Stegostoma tigrinum: one gene and its partners. The protein of the gene in region 1 interacts with the protein of each later gene in a pairwise test. Links are inferred from orthologs where the notes say so. Each region holds a gene or a part of one and is shown on either strand. Other genes may lie near its edges.

Region 1 (7,987 bases):
AACAGAAGCAACGTCAGCAAAATTGTGAAGCAGTCTCACTGGAAGCAATTAGTCTACATGCCACCTTGCATAATATTTTCACTTTGATAAAAATGCTGCGCCATAGACCTGAAATGCTAATTCGGTTACTCTCCACAGATATACTTGAGCTGATGAATATTTCCAGTGCTTTTTTTGCTTTTAATTTAAATACTAGTTGACATGGAACATCCTTTTGCCTGTTATTTGCACAGCCTCATTTCATCGCATACCTTTTGTCCACCTATCCCATTAAAATGGGAGCAAATGTATTGATCTGAATTGCAAAATGTCCAACAAAGTTCTTAAACGTGTTGTCACCTCCCATACCTGTGCCCTGTTTTCCCAGAACTTCCTACTTGAATCTTTCCAATCAATTTTGTGCCCCTGCCACAACAGTGAAGTAACGCTCATCAAACTCAGAAGTGACGTGTTATTTGACTGTAGCAAAGATAAACTATCCCTCCACATCCTACCCTATACCACAGGTCCTATTTTCTACATTTTCTCAAACACTGTCCCTTCAAACACTTTTCCCCTGTTTTCCAGTCGAGGGGGGCTGCTCTCACTGGGGAGTCCATTCTTCTCAATCTAGTCATAGCTGGAGAACGACCTGCAATAGATTCAATTCCCTCTCTAACACCCTCACCTCCCAGAGGAATCTCAATTTCATATGGGTGATTAATCCATAAATTTGCTGACTGCACAACGTGCCACAAATATCAGATCGGACAGAAAAAGTTCTCCAAATTCCATCTCTACTTCACCTTTGCTATGAGAAGGGTCAGAAGATGCTTTGAGTTTCTTAACCCTTACCCCAGTTCACACCACTAATTTTTTTTTTGCCCCTGCATGGCAACATCTGTCCATGGTTTATTTATGATGTGAAGGTGCCAGTGTTGGATTTGGGTGGACAAAGTCAGAAGTCACATGACACCAGACTAAAGTCTAACCGGCATATTTGAAATCACTAACTTTATGTGAAATCACAAGTTTGCAAAGTGACACCCCTTCATCAGGTGAAGTGAGAAGGGAGCACACAGAGTACAGAATTTATAGGCAGAGAGATCAAGGGCAGAGCGATCGAAAGATCATGCGAATTGTGAGAGCAGAGTGTCGAATAACAAATCCCTGCAGGTGATCCAAAGTGTTAGACCATGTAAGTAAAAATGAACAACAAGCAAAGGATAACCTGTAATCCAATTAAATGAGACAGAGAGATAATTACAAAAAATTAAAAATAAGGTGATGCTGGAGAGAAACCAAATGACTGGAACAACATGAAATCCCTTTGCTTGTTATTCCGCTGTTGACACTTTACTCACGCTAACACTTTGGATCACCTTCAGGGACTTATTATTTGATACTCCACTCACACCATTTGTTTGACGTTTTAATTTCTCTGCCCATAAATTCTGGATCTGTGTGCTTCTCTCTCACTTCACTTGACAAAGGGGCTACATTCCAAAAGCTTGTGATTTCAAATAAATCTGTTTTACTGTAACCTGGCATCATGTGATTTCTGACTTGGATCACTTATGACATGTCCCAATTCATTGTGACCCAACAAGGGACTTTCACTGTAGCTTTCATCCACATACTGTCTCTTGGCACGAACAACTGAAAAAACGGTCAGTTTCCACTATACACTAGTAACACCAAACTCTCCATTTCAAACACCTTCTTCAACCTCTCCGCTGCATTTAAATGATCAAACTGCCTGCTTAACATCCAATATCATATGAGCAAAACCTTACTCCAACTTAACACCAGGAAAATTTGAACTATAGGAACGGGGCATAGTAGTGTATAATGTTTCATATCATGAAAGGAATACAGTGCGGCTCTCCAGGGATAGGCATTAGGGCCATTTCGTTTCTTAAAGTGTATCAATAATTTTGTTAAAATTCATTCACAGAATGAGGGTGAAACTGGCTAGGCCAGCATTTATTGACAATCCCTAATTTCCCCAGACGGCAGTTGAGAGTCAACCACATTGTGGGTTGGCAGTCACACACAGACAGACAAGGTAAGGACAGTAGTTTCCTTCCCTAAAGTACATTAGTGAACTAGATGGGTTTTTCCCCAACAATCGACAATGGATTTGAGATCATCATTAGATGCTTATTTCCAGATTTTTAGTAGATTCAATTTCCACCATCTGTCGTGCTGTGATTTGAACCCAGGTCCCCAGAACATTATCTGGGTCTATGGATCAACAGTCCAGCAATAATACCACTAGGCCACTGCCTCCCCTAAATCTAGATTGGGGTGTACAGCCCACAATCCCAAAATTTACAGATCACAAAAAACTCAGAAGTTGAATCAGTTTCAGCTATTGGAGGTCTGATTTTTCAGTTTTGAGTGCTTTTAGTAAAAGGTACAAGGGGAAAGTCCTGAAGATTCATTGATGTAGAGGAACAGGATAAGGGATGGAAAGACAAAACAAGAGGGCATGGAAAGAAATGCAGGGCATTAGTGATAAAGAGTAAGAAATAGCTAGGCCACACAATCAGCAAAGATTAAGAAAAAGGCTTTGAGGTGGCAATGTGGCACAGTGGTTTGCATTGCTGCTTCATACCACCAGGCATCTGGGTTTCATCCCAGCTGTGGGCTGTGTGGAGTTTGCACATTCTCCCCATGTCTGTGTGAGTTTCCTCTGGGTGCTGCTATTTCCACCCACAGTCCAAAGATGTGCAGTTTATGTAGATTAGCCATCCTATCCTGAGACTATGACCCTTACTTCTAGATTACCCAACCAGGGAAGATGCGCTCCATGCATTTGTCCAGGCCTGTTAGAATTTTATAATTTCCAATCAAAATTCCCTTTCATCCTTTTAAACTTTCATGAATATTGGCCCAGTTGAAACAATTTCTCCTCATATGACAGTCCCGCCAACCCTGGTATCATCCGGGTGAACCTTTGCTGCATTCCCTCTGGCCAGTATACACAGTCTTTGGCAGGGAGACCAAAACTGCGCACAACCATCTCACCAGGGTCCTGTATACCTCGTATGGCATCCCTGCTTCGGACCTCAAATCATTTTGCAACCAACGCCAATATATCACTTGCCTTCTTAACTGGTCAACAAGGATATGCAGATTCCTTTGCATATCCAAACTTCCAAACATATCACTATTTAAATAATATTCTTCTTTTCAGTATATCACACTGAAGCATAAAACTTCACAGTTATCCACAATATACTGCTTCTGCGATGTGTTTTCACACACAACCTGCCTAGAAGCCTCCTTCTTGCATCATCATCACAATCCCACCTCATCTCGGGTCATGACCAAACTTGGAAATTTTGTGATAATAAAATGTGAGGCTGGATGAACACAACAGGCCAAGCAGCATTTCAGGAGCACAAAAGCTGACGTTTCGGGTCTAGACCCTTCATCAGAAATTTTGTATCTGGTTTCCTCACACTGAGTTTATAACAATCATGAATAGCTGAGGCCCAGCACTGACCCCTGCATGACACCACCAATCACCACTTGGAAAGATTTATTTCAACTGTGTTTCTGGTTTGTCAATCAATTCATAATCCATGCCAGAATGCTGCCCCCAATCCAACATGCTTTAATTTTGCCTGTTACCCACTTTTGTGGATCCTTATCAAAATTGTCCTTGAAATTAAAATGCACCACACCGACAGGCTTCTTTTATCTGTGAAATAAATCCTAAAGGGGTTGCAGAAAGAGAACTGCCTGGGTTTATAAATGTACACAACATTGAGGTTTTCAGGGCAGGTGAGGGAAATAGTTACTGAGGCACATGGAATCTTCGGATTCTTAAAAGAGAGTGAATATAAAATCAAGGAGGTCATGGTGAACCTTTACAACAAAAACCTTTATAACAAAAAACTGACCCAGCTGGAGTACTGTGCCAAATGCTAGGCATCAAACTTTGGGGATCTCATACAAACCCATAAAATTCTATCAGGATTCGACAGGGTGGACGAAGGAAGGATCGGGGCGGGGGAGTCCAGAACCATGGGTTACAGTTGAAAGTTCCGGGGTAAACCATGTAAGGACTGAGGTGAGGAGACATTCCTGCGCCATTCACTATTACAGAAAGCTGTCAAACCCGAAACATTCAAGAAGGAGTTAATTATAGCCCTTGGACCTAAAGGAATCATTGGATGTGGGGAAGAAGTGGAAACAGGCTCTTAAATTTGGAGCGTCTGCTAAGCAGACTTCTTCAAAATAAATCAGGATTTTAAAAACGAAAATCGAACAACACATTTCTCCCTTCCCCCAACAGAATGCAATCTTCTTACTTTTCACTGCTACTTTCTGCTGAATCTGTATCGGTGACTCCCTCCTCGCCGATGTTGGGCAAAGTGAAGGGATGTTGCTTGTTGGACAGTTTCCACGTAACGCTATCCTCAACCGAGTATACCGGGGACCTTCCCGTGCCAGAAATGATACTGTTGTTTGATCCGGTCGGAGATGGCATGGTTTTCACTGCATTTAAACTGGCCAGGCCGGAGCTCGGAGCTGCCCGGACTGCTATCTGACTTGCAGTCCCTACACTCAGGCCAGCTGACTTGGGCACAGAAGCTGACGCTGGAAAAGAGGCGCTGCTGTTTTTAACAGTGACAGGGCTGCCCGGAGCAGAGCCACTTCCAGAAAGTCCAGAGGCTTTCCCTGAGACACCGGACAAAGATGAAGATACCGATATCGCCGATGGTCCATGAGGTGTTGCTGACTGTCCACTATTTGAGGAACCAGCTGGCGGGATTACAGGAGAAGCGGAAGTCTTGAAAATATTTGCAAATATGGTTCCCAGGTCCAGCACTGCAAGCTTCATTTTTTTTGTTGTCAAACGCACTTAAAACATGCCAGCTTGATCAGCCTCAGGACCCCAGGCAACTGTATCGCCAGGCACTTAAGAAATTTGATACGATCTGACTTTCCCATTAAGAGGAAAGTAAGTTTTCTTTAGAAATCAGTCTTGAAGATATTCTCCCAGAGACGGGGAGGCTTTCTATTTCTCCGCTAACTGTAGCCGTTGCCAGTACACTACACTATATGATTGAAGAGTCAGTCCAGTCTTGTTTGTCAGCTTGACGGTTTGTCTGCTGTTCTACTGCAGATGAAGAAATAGCTGCAACTCTCCAGCTTGCTCGGCTGCTCGTAAAGTAATAATTCTCTTAGAAGACAAGAACAAAAGATTGCCATCAAAAACAGAGTTGGCTGGCTCGCAGACTTGTCAGGTGACAACAGCAGTCCAGGTTGCTACGCAAAACAAAACCCTTACTCCTGGTTGGTCTATTACCAATGGCTGAAGGGTGGTTCTTATTTACCGTGTGAGGAAACAGATTTCACTGAAACCGTGAAAGGTTTGATGTCGTACGGGGAAGGCACTGAATGCATGTTCCAGTGTTTGACTTCTCATTACACTGATTTTGCACTGACTTTTATTTTTAAAAATACTGCCTTGGAGTTTGCACTGTCATGGCAGAGCCTCCCCATCCCCTCAGCAAAGATGAGCGGCACCAGGCATTACCCCATGAACATTAAGTTGTGCAGCTTGCTGGATTATGGGCTCCTCAGTAGGTTAAGTTCAGGGAAGGAGCCACTGAAGAGATACAGAGATAACAAAGTGCAGAGCTGGATGAACACAGCAGGCCAAGCAGCATCTCAGGAGCACAAAAGCTGACGTTTCGGGCCTAGACCCTTCATCAGAGAGGGGGTTTGGGGAGAGGGAACTGGAATAAATAGGGGGAGGCGGACCGAAGATGGAGAGTAAAGAAGATAGGTGGAGAGAGTATAGGTGGGGAGGTAGGGAGGGGATAGGTCAGTCCAGGGAAGACGGACAGGTCAAGGAGGTGGGATGAGGTTAGTAGGTAAATGGGGGTGCGGCTTGGGGTGGGAGGAAGGGATGGGTGAGAGGAAGAACCGGTTAGGGAGGCAGAGACAGGTTGGACTGGTTTTGGGATGCAGTGGATGGGGGGGAAGAGCTGGGCTGGTTGTGTGGTGCAGTGGGGGGAGGGGACGAACTGGGCTGGTTTAGGGATGCAGTAGGGGAAGGGGAGATTTTGAAACTGGTGAAGTCCACATTGATACCATATGGCTGCAGGGTTCCCAGGCGGAATATGAGTTGCTGTTCCTGCAACCTTCGGGTGGCATCATTGTGGCAGTGCAGGAGGCCCATGATGGACATGTCATCTAGAGAATGGGAGGGGGTTTCAGCTTTTGTGCTCCTGAGATGCTGCTTGGCCTGCTGTGTTCATCCAGCCTCACATTTTATTATCTTGGAATTCTCCAGCATCTGCAGTTCCCATTATCTCTAATATGATTTGTGATCTTGGATTCTCCAGCATCTGCAGTTCCCAGTATCACTAAAGAGATACAATCGGGCAGTGGGAAGGGGCTCACAGCTTACAGCTGTGAGCCCTGAAGGGACATTCAGTAGAATTCTGTGAAACTGAGACCATACTGTAGAGTGTTGTTTACCAGACCCTCCTTTCCCCATCCCTTCAGCCCTCAAAACCAATATTAAATGATTCCCTTTCCTCTTAGAATGTGACTCAACGATGGGGAAATAAAATCTCACTATTTCTCAAATGATCGATCATAACAAACACTCACTCATTTCATGTAATAAGAAAATGAATGTGGTAATTAACAATTTTACACTCTTAACATCTGGTGCCAGCTTCACTGTGATAAATGGGCTTGAAATAGAACGCAGTGGAGGTTTACAGTGTGACCTTTAGCTGAAGGAACTGAACTAAAGAACTGCTCATCTTTCAGGGTATTTCATTTCAGACAGCAATACTATCACCTGCAAAGAAAAGGCATAATGGAAGATGAGATGGATGAATAGTAGCCGGAATAATTTGCTTTCTTTAATTATGGAGTCTTCATTTAGCAGCTTGTTTGTAATTGAATCAAGCCACTTTTTGCTTAGCATGCTGGAGTCAAGCTCTATCATACAATAATACATGAAAAATGTTTAATTTTGATGAGAGGATGAATTACTTCTGTTGAGAACCAAGAGGTTAGATTGATAGCAGACTTTTCAGAATCAGTGGAAGAGGATGTGTTTGCAGGAATTACATATGGGAACAGAAACACCAATCAGCCCCAAAACTCTAACATTTTTCTTCAGGTCTTTCACTTGGCAGCCAAGGCATTTGTCTGAATCAGGAAGTAGTCCCATTAATATAAACAAATTGTATAAAGAACAAAGAGCAGTACAACACAGGAACAGCCCCTTTGGCCCTCTGCGTCTGTGCCGTCATATTTTGTCCTTCCATGTTAAAACTCTCTTCACTGATAGGATCTGTGTCCCTCTATTCCCTTACTATTTATGCATTCATCCAGATGTTTCTTGAAAGCTGCTATTGTGTCTGCTTCCTCCACCTCGTCTGGCAGTACGTTCCAGGCACTCACCACCCTTTCTGTGAAAGATTTGCCTCGCACAAATCTCTTAAACACCCCCCCTTGTGGGTTGAACCTGTGTCCCCTAGTAATGGACCCTTCCATACTGGGAAAAAGTCTCATACTTTCCGAGTTATTCATGACGTTCACAATCTTATACATTTCTATTAGGTCATCCCTCAACCTCCTGTGTTCCAGTCAAAACAAACCCAATCTATTCAAGCATTCTTCATAGCTAAAATCCCCCATATCAGGCAACATCCTGGTAAACCTTTTCTGTACCCTCTCCAAAGCATCCACATCCTTCTGGTCGTGCGGTGAATAGAACTGTATGCAATATTCCACGTGTGACCTAACTAAAGTTCTATAAAGCTGCAGCATAACTTGCCTATCATTATACTCAATGCTATGATGTGTATAGAATCCCAATAATATTTTAATAGTAGAAGTTGCTGGAGAAATTCAGCAGGTCCGGTAGCATCTGTGAAGAGAAAACAAAGTTTATGTTTTGAGTCCAGTGAGCCTTTTTCTGAACTTGGACTAACTATGAATAAACCTGTTCAATCAGAGG
Region 2 (7,607 bases), on another chromosome or scaffold:
TGCAACCTTCGGGTGGCATCATTGTGGCAGTGCAGGAGGCCCATGATGGACATGTCATCAAGAGAATGGGAGGGGGAGTGGAAATGGTTTGCGACTGGGAGGTGCAGTTGTTTGTTGCGAACTGAGCGGAGGTGTTCTGCAAAGCGGTCCCCAAGCCTCCGCTTGGTTTCCCCAATGTAGAGGAAGCTGCACCGGGTACAGTGGATGCAGTATACCACATTGGCAGATGTGCAGGTGAACCTCTGCTTAATGTGGAATGTCATCTTGGGGCCTGGGATGGGGGTGAGGGAGGAGGTGTGGGGACAAGTGTAGCATTTCCTGCGGTTGCAGGGGAAGGTGCCGGGTGTGGTGGGGTTGGAGGGCAGTGTGGAGCGAACAAGGGAGTCACGGAGAGAGTGGTCTCTCCGGAAAGCAGACAGGGGAGGGGATGGAAAAATGTCTTGGGTGGTGGGGTCGGATTGTAAATGGCGGAAGTGTCGGAGGATAATGCGTTGTAACAGTTCATCCACTTCACCAACACCTCCCACCCCAACCTTCAGTTCACCTGGGCCATCTCCAGCACATCCCTCACCTTCCTGGACCTCTCAGTCTACATCTCAGGCAACCAGCTTGTAACTGATGTCCATTTCAAGCCCACCGACTCCCACAGCTACCTCCTCCCACCCACCCTCCTGCAAAAATTACATCCCCTATTCCCAATTCCTCCGCCTCCGCCGCATCTGCTCCCACAATAAGACATTCCACTCCCGCACATCCCAGATGTCCAAGTTCTTTAAGGACCGCAACTTTCCCCCCACGGTGATCGAGAACGCCCTTGACCGCGTCTCCCCCATTTCCCGCGACACATCCCTCACACCCCGCCCCCGCCACAACCGCCCCAAGAGGATCCCCCTCGTTCTCACACACCACCCTACCAACCTCCGGATACAACGCATTATCCTCCGACACTTCCGCCATTTACAATCCGACCCCACCACCCAAGACATTTTTCCATCCCCTCCCCTGTCTGCTTTCCGGAGAGACCACTCTCTCCGTGACTCCCTTGTTCGCTCCACACTGCCCTCCAACCCCACCACACCCGGCACCTTCCCCTGCAACCGCAGGAAATGCTACACTTGTCCCCACACCTCCTCCCTCACCCCCATCCCAGGCCTCAAGATGACATTCCACATTAAGCAGAGGTTCACCTGCACATCTGCCAATGTGGTATACTGCATCCACTGTACCCGGTGCGGCTTCCTCTACATTGGGGAAACCAAGCGGAGGCTTGGGGACCGCTTTGCAGAACACCTCCGCTCAGTTCGCAACAAACAACTGCACCTCCCAGTCGCAAACCATTTCCACTCCCCCTCCCATTCTCTTGATGACATGTCCATCATGGGCCTCCTGCACTGCCACAATGATGCCACCCGAAGGTTGCAGGAACAGCAACTCATATTCCGCCTGGGAACCCTGCAGCCATATGGTATCAATGTGGACTTCACCAGTTTCAAAATCTCCCCTTCCCCTACTGCATCCCTAAACCAGCCCAGTTCATCCCCTCCCCCCACTGCACCACACAACCAGCCCAGCTCTTCCCCCCCACCCACTGCATCCCAAAACCAGTCCAACCTGTCTCTGCCTCCCTAACCCGTTCTTCCTCTCACCCATCCCTTCCTCCCACCCCAAGCCGCACCCCCAGCTACTAATCTCATCCCACCTCCTTGACCTGTCCGTCTTCCCTGGACTGACCTATCCCCTCCCTACCTCCCCACCTACACCCTCTCCACCTATCTTCTTTACTCTCCATCTTCGGTCCGCCTCCCCCTCTCTCCCTATTTATTCCAGTTCCCTCCCCCCATCCCCCTCTCTGATGAAGGGTCTAGGCCCGAAACGTCAGCTTTTGTGCTCCTGAGATGCTGCTTGGCCTGCTGTGTTCGTCCAACGTATGAAATAGGAGTAGGCCACCTGCCCCCTTGAGCTTGATCTGCCATTCAATGAGCTTCAGGGTGATCTGATTCCTTTCCCATATTTTATAACCCGACAGTCACAATACCTTAATGGCAATTAAATCATTCTCATTTACTTCTATTTGTGCTTTCAAATTGTCAACTTTGATGTGAATCTGCATGTATTCAGACACAATGCCTTTAATTCTGCCTTTTTAATTTCATACAGTACTCTAAGGTTCTTGAGTAGATTTGTTGCTTGGGTTGTGGATGCTGTGGTTGGTTTGCCGACTGAGCTGTTTCGTTAGTTCGCACACATTTCATTACCCTGCTGGGTAACATCATCAGTGCAGCCTCCAATGAAGTGCTGTTGTGTTTTCCCACCTGGTATTTAAACTCTGGCGTCCGTTGGATTTGAATACCTCATTTCTGGTTTTCCTTTGCAGTGGTCCGTGAATATAGGGTCGAGTTCTATGTGTTTGTTGATGATCTTCTTGGTAGAGAACCAGGCCTCGAGGAATTCCCATGCTTGACTGTTTGGCCTGTCCTCGGATTCTGGTGTCAGATCTGATCTAATTTGTGGCCCTCTTAACTGTAAATTCTTGCTACTACTGCTATTTGTAGTTTAATGATAATAAAATGTGAGGCTGGATGAACACAGCAGGCCAAGCAGCATCTCAGGAGCACAAAAGCTGACGTTTCGGGCCTAGACCCTTCATCAGAGAGGGGGATGGGGGGAGGGAACTGGAATAAATAGGGAGAGAGGGGGAGGCGGACCGAAGATGGAGAGTAAAGAAGATAGGTGGAGAAGGTGTGGGTGGGGAGGTAGGGAGGGGATAGGTCAGTCCAGGGAAGACGGACAGGTCAATGGGAGAGAGATTCCCTGAGGTTGGTCCGGAGGGAGGAGGGTAACTTCTTCAGGTTAGGCATCCCTGGAAGAGGCTTCGCAGTGAGGTTAAAATAGTATCAGAGATAATGGGAACTGCAGATGCTGGAGATTCCAAGATAATAAAATGTGAGGCTGGATGAACACAGCAGGCCAAGCAGCATCTCAGGAGCACAAAAGCTGACGTTTCGGGCCTAGACCCTTCATCAGAGAGGGGGATGGGGGGAGGGAACTGGAATAAATAGGGAGAGAGGGGGAGGCGGACCAAAGATGGAGAGTAAAGAAGATAGGTGGAGAAGGTGTGGGTGGGGTGTTTTGTGTTATAGCTTCACACTTTGAGACTTCGTTTTTAAATTAGCCAGGTGCTGGTCCTGGTGAGTCTGCCTGCCCTCTTCTTTGTAGCAGAATTAATCTCCTGGTTTAATGGTAACAGTGAGTGAGGGATTTTCCTAGTTATGAGATTACAAATTGTGGCTGTTGATGGCCCACAGCATAGTTCTAATGTGTTTAGTTCTGAGTCACTAGAAATCTGTCCTATTGAGCATAATATGAGTTTTACACAATACAGTGTAATATATCCATAATGTGAACGTAGCCACTTTTGTTTCTAGCATGACTGTGGTCACTCCCACCATTATTGTCATTATGGACACCTGCAACAGGCAAGTTGGTGAAGATCAGGTTTCACATTACAGTTTTTAATGTCAGATAGGATGGGGAAAAATCTATATTGGTGAAGATGAGGTTAGGTAGTTTATTTCCTCCTGTTAGTTCCTCCACCACGTACCGCAGACCCAGTCTGTCTGTAATATTCTTCAGGACTCAGCCAGCTTGAGTAATGGTGCTGCCACCAAATCACCTTTAGCAATTGACTGAGAATATATTCTGTGCCATTGTCACTCTCAATGCTTCCTTTCAAGTGGCAATTAGTTTTCAGCATAAAGGAGTACTCATTCATTAGCAGAGGAGTGCTGAAGAAGGTGTGGGGTTAGTTGGTGGTAATCAGAAGGCTGTTTCCTTGCTCATGTTTGGTCTGATGTCAAGAGACTTCATGGGGTACAGAGTCAATCTTGAGGACTGCCAGAGGGCAACTCTTTCCATTGTTTTCACTTCTGGTGAGTCTGTTCTGTCAGTAGGACAGGATATATCCAGGCACGTTGACAGTGGCATCTGGAATATTGTCTATAAGGTATGATTCTGAGAGTACTTCAGGTGAAGATGCTGCTTCACTGCTGTGGGACAGCATTCCCAGTTTTGGCACATACCCCTGGACCTCAGTAAAGAGGATTTTGCAGGATTGACAACGCTGGTTTTTATGTTGTCATGTCCATGCCTAAGTAGTTGCTGGGTAGCCCATCCAGTCTCACGCTTTTGTTTAGACCTGGAGTGGGCCTTGCACGCACAATCTTCTGACTTGCTGAATCCCATACAGCGCGACCAGGTCTCTGGATCATCTTGATCTTAATTGTTCCACCATTGGTGGCTGTACTTTGGATATTTTACGTTAAAGTGACCGTGTAAAAACAAGTTGCTTATTTTAATATGTTGCTAAATATTACCATGCGGAGATTTGTGCATATCAAGTAAATATCTCACGAGCGAAGCACCTTCCGATAGAATTTATTAACTAATTCTTGTACAGTACATGTATATCTTGAGATGTTACCATTTGGACGATGCGTTGAACTGAAGGCTTGCATATCCGCAAAAGACTCCGCGGCACGATTCCGAACAGAATGGGTTACACGGCGTTCTGATGCGTCAGAAATAGTAAGAACTGCTAATGCGTCACTTCCTCTGAGCTTCTACTTTCCTTGAGTTACTGGCGAGAGGGTCAGAGCCGATAATGAAGCTGCAAAGGTACCTGTATCTCGTCCTCCTTAACATTCTTCTGATCTGCTTTCAAACATATGGGAGCGAAAGTCTTGGAAGAGGTGGGTTAGTTTATATTTGTTTTATTTAAACGATGGCTTTGATGTGGTTTAATTGAAAACCGTGGAAACGCAAAAAATCGTGTGTCTATGGCTAATCCGTTACCTCTGTCAATCTTTCTCGCATTTGATTAGTCATTCTGATCTAGAACTCAGAAATAATGGGAACTGCAGATGCTGGAGAATCCAAGATAATAAAATGTGAGGCTGGATGAACACAGCAGGCCAAGCAGCATCTCAGGAGCACAAAAGCTGACGTTTCGGGCCTAGACCCTTCATCAGAGAGGGGGATGGGGAGAGGGAACTGGAATAAATAGGGAGAGAGTGGGAGGCGGACCGAAGATGGAGAGGAGAGTATAGGTGGGGGGAGGTAGGGAGGGGGATAGGTCAGTCCAGGGGAAGACGGACAGGTTAAGGAGGTGGGATGAGGTTAGTAGGTAAGAAATGGACGTGCGGCTTGAGGTGGGAGGAAGGGATGGGTGAGAGGAAGAACAGGTTAGGGAGGCGCGGCTTGAGGTGGGAGGAAGGGATGGGTGAGAGGAAGAACAGGTTAGGGAGGCAGAGACAGGTTGGACTGGTTTTGGGATGTAGTGGAGGCAGGGCATGAGCTGGTCTGGTTGTGTGATGCAGTGGGGGTAGGGGACAAACTGGGCTGGCTTCGGGATGCGGTGGGGGAAGGGGAGATTTTGAAGCTGGTGAAGTCCACATTGATACCGTTGGGCTGCAGGGTTCCCAAGCAGAATGTGAGTTGCTGTTCCTGCAACCTTCGGGTGGCAGCATTGCGGCACTGCAGGAGGCCCATGATGGACATGTCATCTAAAGAATAGGAGGGGGAGTTAAAATGGTTTGCGACTGGGAGGTGCAGTTGTTTATTGCGAACCCAGCGGAGGTATTCTGCAAAGCAGTCCCCAAGCCTCTGCTTGGTTTCCCCAATGTAGAGGAAGCCACACCGGGTACAGTGGATACAGTGTACCACATTGGCAGATGTGCAGGTGAACCTCTGCTTAATGTGGAAAGTCATGTTGGGGCCTGGGATGGGGGTGAGGGAGGAGGTGTGTGGGCAAGTGTAGCACTTCCTGCGGTTGCAGGGGAAGGTGCCAGGTGTGTTGGGGTTGGAGGGCAGTGTGGAGCGAACAAGGGAGTGACGGAGAGAGTGGTCTCTCCGAAAGGCAGACAAGGATGGGGATGGAAAAATGTCTTGGGTGGTGGGGTCGGATTGTAGATGGCGGAAGTGTTGGAGGACGATGCGTTGTATCCGGAGGTTGGTGGGATGGTGTGCGAGAACGAGGGGGATCCTCTTTGGGTGGTTGTGGCGGGGGCGGGGTGTGAGGGATGTGTTGCGGGAAATGCGGGAGACGCGCTCAAGGGCATTCTCAACCACTGTGTGGGGGAAAGTTGTGGTCCTTGAATGCCTCATTCTGGGAGCAGATGTGGCAGAGGCGGAGGAATTGGGAATAGGGGATGGAATTTTTGCAGCAGGGTGGGTGGGAGGAGGTGTATTCTTGCCCCCACAACTCCTCCCTCACCCCCATCCCAGGCCCTAAGATGACTTTCCACATTAAGCAGAGGTTCACCTACACATCTGCCAATGTGGTATACTGTATCCATTGTACCCGGTGTGGCTGCCTCTACATTGGGGAAACCAAACAGAGGCTTGGGGACCGCTTTGCAGAACACCTCCGCTCGGTTCATAATAAACAACTGCACGTCCCAGTTGCGATCCCTCCCCCTTTTAACTCCCCCTCCCATTCTTTAGCTGACATGTCCATCATGGGCCTCCTGCAGTGCCACAATGATGCCACCCGAAGGTTGCAGGAACAGCAACTCATATTCCACTTGGGAACCCTGCAGCCCAATGGTATCAATGTGGACTTTACCAGCTGCAAAATCTCCCCTTCCCCCACTGCATCCCAAAGCCAGCCCAGTTTGTCCCCTCCCCCCACTGCATCACACAACCAGCCCAGCTCATCCCCTCCACCCACTGCATCCCAAAACCAGCCCAGCCTGTCTCTGACTCCCTAACCTGTTCTTCCTCTCACCCATCCCTTCCTCCCACCTCAAGCCGCACCTCCATCTCCTACCTACTAACGTCATCCCGCCTCCTTGACCTGTCCGTCTTCCCTGGACTGACCTATCCCCTCCCTACCTCCCCACCTATACTCTCCTGTCCACCTATCTTCTTTTCTCCATCTTCGGTCCGCCTCCCCCCCTCTCCCTATTTATTCCAGTTCCCTCTCCCCATCCCCCTCTCTGTTGAAGGGACAAGGCCCGAAACGTCAGGTTTTGTGCTCCTGAGATGCTGCTTGGGCTGCTGTGTTCTTCCAGCTCCACACTTTATTATCTCTGTTCTATAACTCCTCTATTTTTGTCATTTGGACCCAGTCGTTGACCGGAAATGGTGAAGACCTTGATAGGTAACAGGTCCAGCAGCAAATAGTTTACTTAATTTCCATTTTTGTCTTCTAGTGTCCCACACTCTAAAGAATTGCCAATGAAGAAAACAATCGTTACGCGCACGGTAGTGTGTATAATGAATACCAAACAAATTTAAATGATCCAATTCCATTGAATTGAGATATTAAAATAACATTGTATGAGGTTTTAGGTGTCGACGTTTGTCTCTAACAATTTGTCAGAGATGGAAATTCATAGGAATGGCAACCTTTTTTCAGGATTTGGAGACCACATTCACTGGAGAACACTGGATGATGGAAAAAAAGAAGCAGAAGCCAGGTATGCAAAGCTAAGTAGAAACTTCCTGTTCAACTTCTGACTTGGAATTTGTGATTTTAAACTTTGTATATTTAGTTGGCAATTGACTGGCTTCCTCCTGGAATATCAAAGAGCCAAATTTGTCAGTAT
Region 3 (7,606 bases), on another chromosome or scaffold:
CTCACTCCAAGGGAATTAAGAATCTGCAATGTAGGATTGGATTTGCACGCAAATCAGACTGAGTGCAGGTGGTTGGTTCTCTTCCCTGAGACGCATTTGTGAACAGTTGAAGTTTTACAGCAATCTGGAAGCTTTTACAGTCATTTTTGTTTTGAAGCCAAATTACCAGATGTATTGAATTCAATTTTGCAACATGCTTCTCAACCTGAACTAGTTGTTAGCCCAGTACTATAGTTCCTGCATTTACTTACTCATAGCCGTAGCTGGCTTATTTGACACTAATATTGATAGCACTTTTAAACTATGTAGCAGACTTCATTTGTGAATTCCATTGGAGTATGTTATTTTATGATGTGGTTACTGCTGTGCCCAGATGATAAAAGTGGTGGACAGCCTCATTATACTGTACAGGATATAATTGGCCTCCTGTTTCTCACCAGCAGTCAGAATGTGCCACTGAGGTAAGATAATACCTTTATTTTGAAAAGTTGTTCCTTCTTGAAAACTCAGCATGTGGGCCACCCTGCCTGTTTAACCCACAAAGTGGCATACTGTGAGGGGAAACTGGAAGAAATAAGAAAAGCCAGAAGAAATTGGACGGGGATTGATTAACAAATTGTGAAGTTCAGCCATCCATCTTCTCCATTCTGCAAACCTTTTACATTCAGGGTTTTGTTGTTCACAATCTGTTAATTATTGACACATGATAAGACCTATGGCGTAATTTACATCTAGTCAAATTTAGAAGGTGATATTTGCTCATGCAGCTAATTATGTTTTGTAATGTTGAGATGGAATTGGACTCACTGGATCAAGAGTCTTGCATACACAACAGAATTATGTACATGCCTTGCTTTAGATATAATTCTTCGTTCCTGTTAGCTATTGGTATACTGAAACACATCTAAATCAATTAATTACTTATTACTTAGCAGCAAGCTAAGGAGTAGAGTTTGAATATAGTACTTGAGCATTGCAGCTGTTCTAAAGATTTTACGAATAAATGTTTTTCCTTCAGAGAAGAAAAGAAATCAGGGTCCTTTTAATCACGACTTGCAGAAATTTTCTGTGAATGTTTTTTATAGAAAGATCAGGAAAAATTTTATGATCATAAGTGTGGTGGAAGCAGATCCATTAGTAACATTCAAAAGCAAATTAGGCAAATACTTGGACGTGGAATAATTTGCAGGACCGTGGAGAAAGAACAAAAGCTTGGGACCAGTTAGATTACTTCTTAAAAGAGACAGTGCAGAATGGTAGGCTTCTATATTGTATTAGTTTGTGATACAATGGTGTGGAACTCAATAACCCTCAAACATTGGTTACAATGAAGGGATTAACCAGTGCTAATTGCCACTGACACCAATTTTGTAGTGCCAAATAATTAACGTGATTGCATAGTTCAGCCAGCATGAGCTGCATTGCTGATGGGCTGCGCAGCTCAACAGGAGCCGTAAATTACTGAGGCTGACATGAGATAAAACTAGGAACAAAGAAAGAAGTTGCTGTTAAAGCTCAGCAAATCTGTCAGGGTCAGTGAAGAAATAAAATCAGTTGATGTTTTGCGTCTGGTGACCTTTCCTCTGAACAGAACACAAAACATTAACTCTGATTTTGTTTTTCTTCACTGATGTTGCCAGACCTGATGAGCTTTTTCAGCAACTTCTGTTTTTGATCCTGATTTACAGCATCCACCACTCTTTCGGGTTTTTATTTATGAAATAAAACTAGCCTGCACTACATACAGCCAGGCTGTAACTCCATTTTGACCAGTTCATTTGACGGAGTCCATCCAAGTTTTGTGTCTGCTCTGGGATACCTATAACAATGGTATATTAACAAGAATGTGTGTCAGCCCAAAGATTTCACAACCTTGACGGAAGAAACGCTCAGAAGTAGTATGACCAGATAACCATTGATAGCCAATGACAGGAATTATCCCAAGGACACTAATGTAAAGCCATGATTGCAATGTTTTATTCTGAGCGGTCAACCTCAGTGAATGCAACTTCTTACAGCACATAATCTACTAATTACACCTTGAGCTGAATTTGACTGCAATTTGCCTGTGTCAGTTTTGTCGCATTTCCATGGATGGTTTTGCTCCATGAGGCCTGACAAGATTTCTCACACTATCTCTTCATGCTGAACTCATTACGATAAAGCACCACATCCCCAAGGCACCCTATCCACTGCAGGTTGATGTAATTTCTCGGATTTCCTAGTGCCATATTTAATATCTAGGGAAGGGAACCTGTCATTGGTATCTGGGCCAAACCAGATACCAATGGGAGTGACTCTTTAATGCCCCCTGGGCGATTAGGAGATGGGCAATAAATGCATGTCTAGTGATTCCCACACCCTGTGAACAAATGAAATAAAATCAGTGCATGACTATCATGAATGCAGCAGAAGAATTTCACTATTTAACAACAATTTAGCCTTTTAGCTCACCAAAAATGGAAGAACTCACTAGTGCATGGATAGCTATTGGGATTAGTGTAGAATAAAGGTGCTTTATTTTAGGGAATAAAATTAACCTTCTTGATGATGAAAAAATCAAGATGTTGATCTTAGCTTTCCGATCTCAAGCAGTGCATCATAACGAGCTGGATGAATGCATGATTTAGCAAACATTGTTGGCAATATTATTTGAAATTGCGGTTGGCAACCCAGTACTTTGGACAATGGAACTAAAATGAGACTCTCTTGAACTTGGAATTGTCATAAAATTAGGAGGCATTGAGGAAGAGGTAAGGTTCCACTGCTATCTGATGCAAAATGCAACATTATAAACTGGCTATCTCCATAACGCAATAGTGCACAGTTCAAGAGTACTCAACAAAGGATACTGTTTCTGAGTAAATATTGGACATAACTCAAATATATGCTTGGGAAACCTATTGACCACCCTTATGCTGAATGTGAGATTCTACAGTTTTTATGAACAGTCTTCCCTAGAGGAATCTTTCTGATAACATTATAAATTAATCCAGCCTTATTTCACATTAGCAGGTGTAAAATATCTTCATTCCTGGTTGTTTTGACAATATATCATTTTATTGTGATGAATACATTCTATGAAATCATCTTCATAGTTATTTGTCAATTGTCAACTTGATTTGTCCAATTTAAATAAAGGTTAAAATTACCTGGGGAAAATTGGAGAACATTTCTTTTATATAGGCCTTCATTATTTCTTGATTTATACTCTGTACTGTGTCGCTACTTTGAGGGCCGATAATTTACACCCCAGTGATACCTTCCCCTTGCTATTTTTTACTTTCATCTATACTGTTCTAAGCCAAGATTGTTTCTCACTACAATCATGATCTCCTCTTTCATTTAATACAGCTACTCGACCTCCTTTTTCCTCTTCCTCCCCTACCTCTGTTGATTGTGAAATGCCCTTGAGTGCCCTTCAGTTTCCAACTTTGGTCACCTTGCAACCATTCTGTTTTCATCCCCATTTATTTGTATTTTTGTTATCACTGCATTTTATCTTGTTACGAATGCTGCATTAAGGATGCTATGATTTGATAAACGCAGTGATTCATGATTAGTTTGTGGAATGTTGGTGATGACCTAAGAAAACTGCTGTTACCTAGCACCTTAGTTTTGATAATGTTAAAAAAATGAAATTGAATCAGATGTAGAAGTGCACGTAAATTTTTAGATTAATTCCAGCTTTATGTTTGAAATACATTAACTGAGGTGCCCTTTATGATTTGATATGTGCTATGATACATACTTCCAAGTAACAATTACACCTTTTTGATAGGTATGAGTTTAATCTGGAAGTTGAAGCAGGTAATTATACACAATATTAACAACATGTTCAGCATTCCACTTAAACATTGTACATTCAGGGAAGAGAACTGACAATAACAGACCTGTGAAAATGTGATCTTCCTGTATGTTCTACCTGCCTCCAATTATTGTCTCAATAGTGTTATTAAGAGAGTTTCCTTTCTCCAATTTGTGCTTCCTCTCATCCTGGCTTGGCCTCTGTTCGTCCAACTCTTGACTGGCTTTCATAAAATCTGCAATTCATAGAAGGGACTCATATTTTGAGTCACTGCAAAACAATGTAAAAATCCCAACAGAAAAAGATTTTAGTGTTAATGTTAAAAAATGCACCCAGACGTTTTGCTAAACTGCCTTTAAAGTATTAATGGAAATAATAGAATATCTTCAACAATGCGAGGATTCTGTGAAACAACATCCACTGCCTTTACTTAGCCAGGTGCATAGATTCTGCTTATCCTTGATTAAAAAAGGCAATTCAGCTTGGTTTCAGTCCATACCATATGGTTTGTTTTGTGTCTCTTGTTTCAAAGATCTCTTTAATAGAAAAGAATATAAAGAGGTATGATATCATGTGATTACTACTGCTTGTGGAGTACTCCTGCAGATGTGAACTAGAGCTCAGCGGAACTCAATCTGAAAATAACAGTGAGCTGTACTATTATGAACCTTCCAAAAACTAAGATAAATATTCACTATTTTACTTTTCTATTACTATGCATGGGGTTCAAGGACACCCTCTCAGAGCTGGAGAAAGGATCCATTCATTGTGGTCCACATGGATACCAATAACCTAGGTGTAATGAAGAAGGCAGCTCTGCTGAAGAAGTATGAACAATTAGAGGATAAATTGAAAAGCAGAGCCAAAGAGGTATTGTATTGTAATAATCTCTGGATTATTACTGGAAACATAAGCAAATAAGAATAGAATATATCAGATCAAAGAGTTGAATAGGTGAGGAAGAAATGTGTTTCAATTCATGGTACCAGGATTTATGGCATAGGAGTGGCAAAAGAGGGTGTTGCACTATTGGCCTAGCCTTCACCTGGACCCCAAGTGTCCCATTGACTCTTACAATATAACTGGAGGAGCTGAGAACACCCATTAGGGACTGCAGCGGAGAGGATGGGCATTTAAATTGCAAGGTACATTTAATAAAACTCCTGTAGCATTTTTCAGCTATTACTTTTTAAAAATTATTTATGATTTGTAAATGGAATATTTTTAAACATTCATGATATGACGTAATGAATCTCAGTGTAATTTAGATTTTTTCATTAATATTTAATGTTTTCTAATGACAGTGCAGACAAATAAGGGCTAAGGGGCCTGGGTAGGTTGGCATCTGGATATGAAGACAGGCACCTGTGTGGGTGATAAGGGGGTGGTGTGGTGCATTTATAGTCGTAGGTATGCGGGGTAGTCTGGTGGCAAGTTGGCAGATGACCTATGGTTCTTAAACTAATGTCTTGAAATGAAATGAAGACGGAGCTTGTTGTAATGCTACAGTGGTAGAGAAGCAATGGCAATATTTCAAGGGCATTTTCCACTATAAATATTCAATGTGAATAATGTCTCATCCATCCTTGGCTCTAAGAAGGTATAAAATCAAAAGTAAAGTTGCATGATATTGTAAAAATTAGTGGCGGCACTCATATTGGAAAAAGTTTAGAAACCCTCAAAGGATGACTAAAAAAGAGGAGGAAATTAGTGCATGAAAGAAATTGAGCAAGAAATATAGAAACTGACAGTAAAAGCTCCTGTCTGTATTAAAATAGGAAAACAGTAGCTAAAGTGAGTATTGGTCCCTTTGCGGTTAAGACTGGGAAATTAATAATGGGGGGGGGGGGGAGGAATGGCAGAGATTTTGAATAAATATTTTGTAATTTATCAACAGAGTACCAATCCCAAGTACCATCCCAAAATAATGGAAAATTAAGAAGTAAAAGCAAAAGATGGACTGCAAACATGACAAGTATATTGGTTGTAATTTTCCAAAATTCCCCAAGTTTCTTAAAAGGTCATAAATGTTACAGCATTCTGCAAAAAAGAAAGGAGTCAGATATCAGAACACCATCGTCCAGTTAGTTTAACGTCTGGCATTGGGAAATGTTGGCATGTATTAGCAAGTGATTTGGAAAATCTTGATTATAATCAGGTAGAATCAACATGGCTTTGTGAAAGGGAAATCATGTTTGATTAATCTATTAAAACACTTTCAATCACAGTGGAATGAGGGATACCATGAGAAATAAGATGTTTAAATTTTAAAAAGACATTAACTAAGATGTCACACGAGCGGTTATTGTACAAGTTAAGAAATCATTGCATTGTGGGTGACAGATCATCTTCGATTGAGGATTGGCTGACTGGAAACACAGAACCATGCTAAATGATTCTGTTTCCAGTTGGAAAACTGTAACTGCTTGAATGGTGAACTATTTATAAATTATACTAATAACTTGGATTAAGGGACTGACTGAATTGGAGTCAAATGTGCATCAGAGAAATTACTTTGGATATGTCATCTGATGTTATTCAAATATATATATATGAGCATCAGGAAATAAAGGTCTATATATTAATTCAGCTAACAAAGTGTGGAGCTGGATGAACACAGCAGGCCAAGCAGCATCTTAGAAGCACAAAAGCTGATGTTTCGGGCCTTGGCCCTTCATCTGCAGTTCCCATTATCTCTGATCACTATATTAATTCAGCTCTGTTTTAAAGTTCACTATCTAGTGGCTTCTCAAATCCTGCTCCACAATATTTTTGATGCTCATTGTTTAATTGCAGAGAGAAGGGCATTTACAGAATAAAAGTTGATTACAGAAGATATAAATAAAGTATGATAAATATTAGTAATAAAACCAAACAAAGTGCTACCTGATGCACTTTGTATGGTAAAATCTGCCTATGGAGCATGCAAAACAATACTTTACACTGTATCTTGGTACATGTGACAATAATAAATCAAATTGAAATCAAGTATTTACTTACCCCACTCCTCTCAAATTGTCCATCAAAAATCTATTGATCTTCAATTTTAAAATATTTAATTGAGCGAATAACCATTGCTTTTTACAGGAGAGAATTCCACATTTCTACAACAACTTAGGTAAAGATGTGTTTCCTGACTCCTGTCCTGAACAGCCCAGTGTTGTAAGTTATGTTCTCTTGTTCTAGACTCTCCCACCAGCAGTTTCTCTCTATCTATCCTTCCCTTCAAAGTTTTATAAACCTCAACCAAATAAACCCATAACCTGCTATATTATGGAGAATACAGGCTCATTTTATATAATAGCTCCTCATAATCTGTAATCTTAGAGACCTGGGAACATTTGCATTGCATTCCTTCTTAAGCCAAAATATCATTTGTAAAGCGGGGTGTCCCAGCTGTACATAGCTCTCCAAACACTATCTAATCAGGGCTTTGTATAGATGTATCATAGTGTCCTCCTCCTTATGTTCTTCCCCTCTTAAATATAACAGCTAACATTCCCTTACCTTTCTTTGGTTCTGCAGTTGATGACTACATTTTAATCTGAATATGTAGACTCCTAAATCTCTTTGCACCTCCACTATTTCTCGCTTTTAGCTATTTCAAAAACAGTTGGAACTATCCCTTTTTGCTCCTAAATAAACGATCTTCCACTTTGTGTATTGAAATCAGCCTGCCCCAGTTTCTCCTGGCATTTCAATCAATCATGCTTTTTTCTTAGGCTATGCTCCCATCTCCACCGCTACCTACTGTACCACAAGTCTTTGTGTCAACAACAAACTTAGATCTGTAGCTCT

What was found.
Region 2: the proteins of small glutamine-rich tetratricopeptide repeat-containing protein beta-like (region 1) and txndc12 interact in binary tests that used the Homo sapiens proteins (3 or more experiments, as listed by UniProt). The two-hybrid records come from large-scale screens. The link is inferred for Stegostoma tigrinum from reciprocal best matches to the Homo sapiens genes SGTB and TXNDC12.
Region 3: the proteins of small glutamine-rich tetratricopeptide repeat-containing protein beta-like (region 1) and retinoic acid-induced protein 2 interact in binary tests that used the Homo sapiens proteins (3 or more experiments, as listed by UniProt). The link is inferred for Stegostoma tigrinum from reciprocal best matches to the Homo sapiens genes SGTB and RAI2.

What each region holds. Positions count from the first base shown.
Region 1 is NC_081354.1:117,674,642-117,682,628, forward strand, and holds the start of small glutamine-rich tetratricopeptide repeat-containing protein beta-like, read left to right. Parts: upstream 1-4,927; 5' UTR 4,928-5,243; intron 5,244-7,987. Other genes in the region: protein FAM149A-like, read right to left, coding at 4,305-4,837. UniProt on the Homo sapiens protein: Co-chaperone that binds directly to HSC70 and HSP70 and regulates their ATPase activity.
Region 2 is NC_081361.1:64,051,326-64,058,932, reverse strand, and holds the start of txndc12 (thioredoxin domain-containing protein 12), read left to right. Parts: upstream 1-4,604; 5' UTR 4,605-4,660; coding exon 4,661-4,748; intron 4,749-7,417; coding exon 7,418-7,478; intron 7,479-7,607. UniProt on the Homo sapiens protein: Protein-disulfide reductase of the endoplasmic reticulum that promotes disulfide bond formation in client proteins through its thiol-disulfide oxidase activity.
Region 3 is NC_081365.1:68,042,812-68,050,417, forward strand, and holds the start of retinoic acid-induced protein 2, read left to right. Parts: upstream 1-4,601; 5' UTR 4,602-4,609; coding exon 4,610-4,678; intron 4,679-7,606.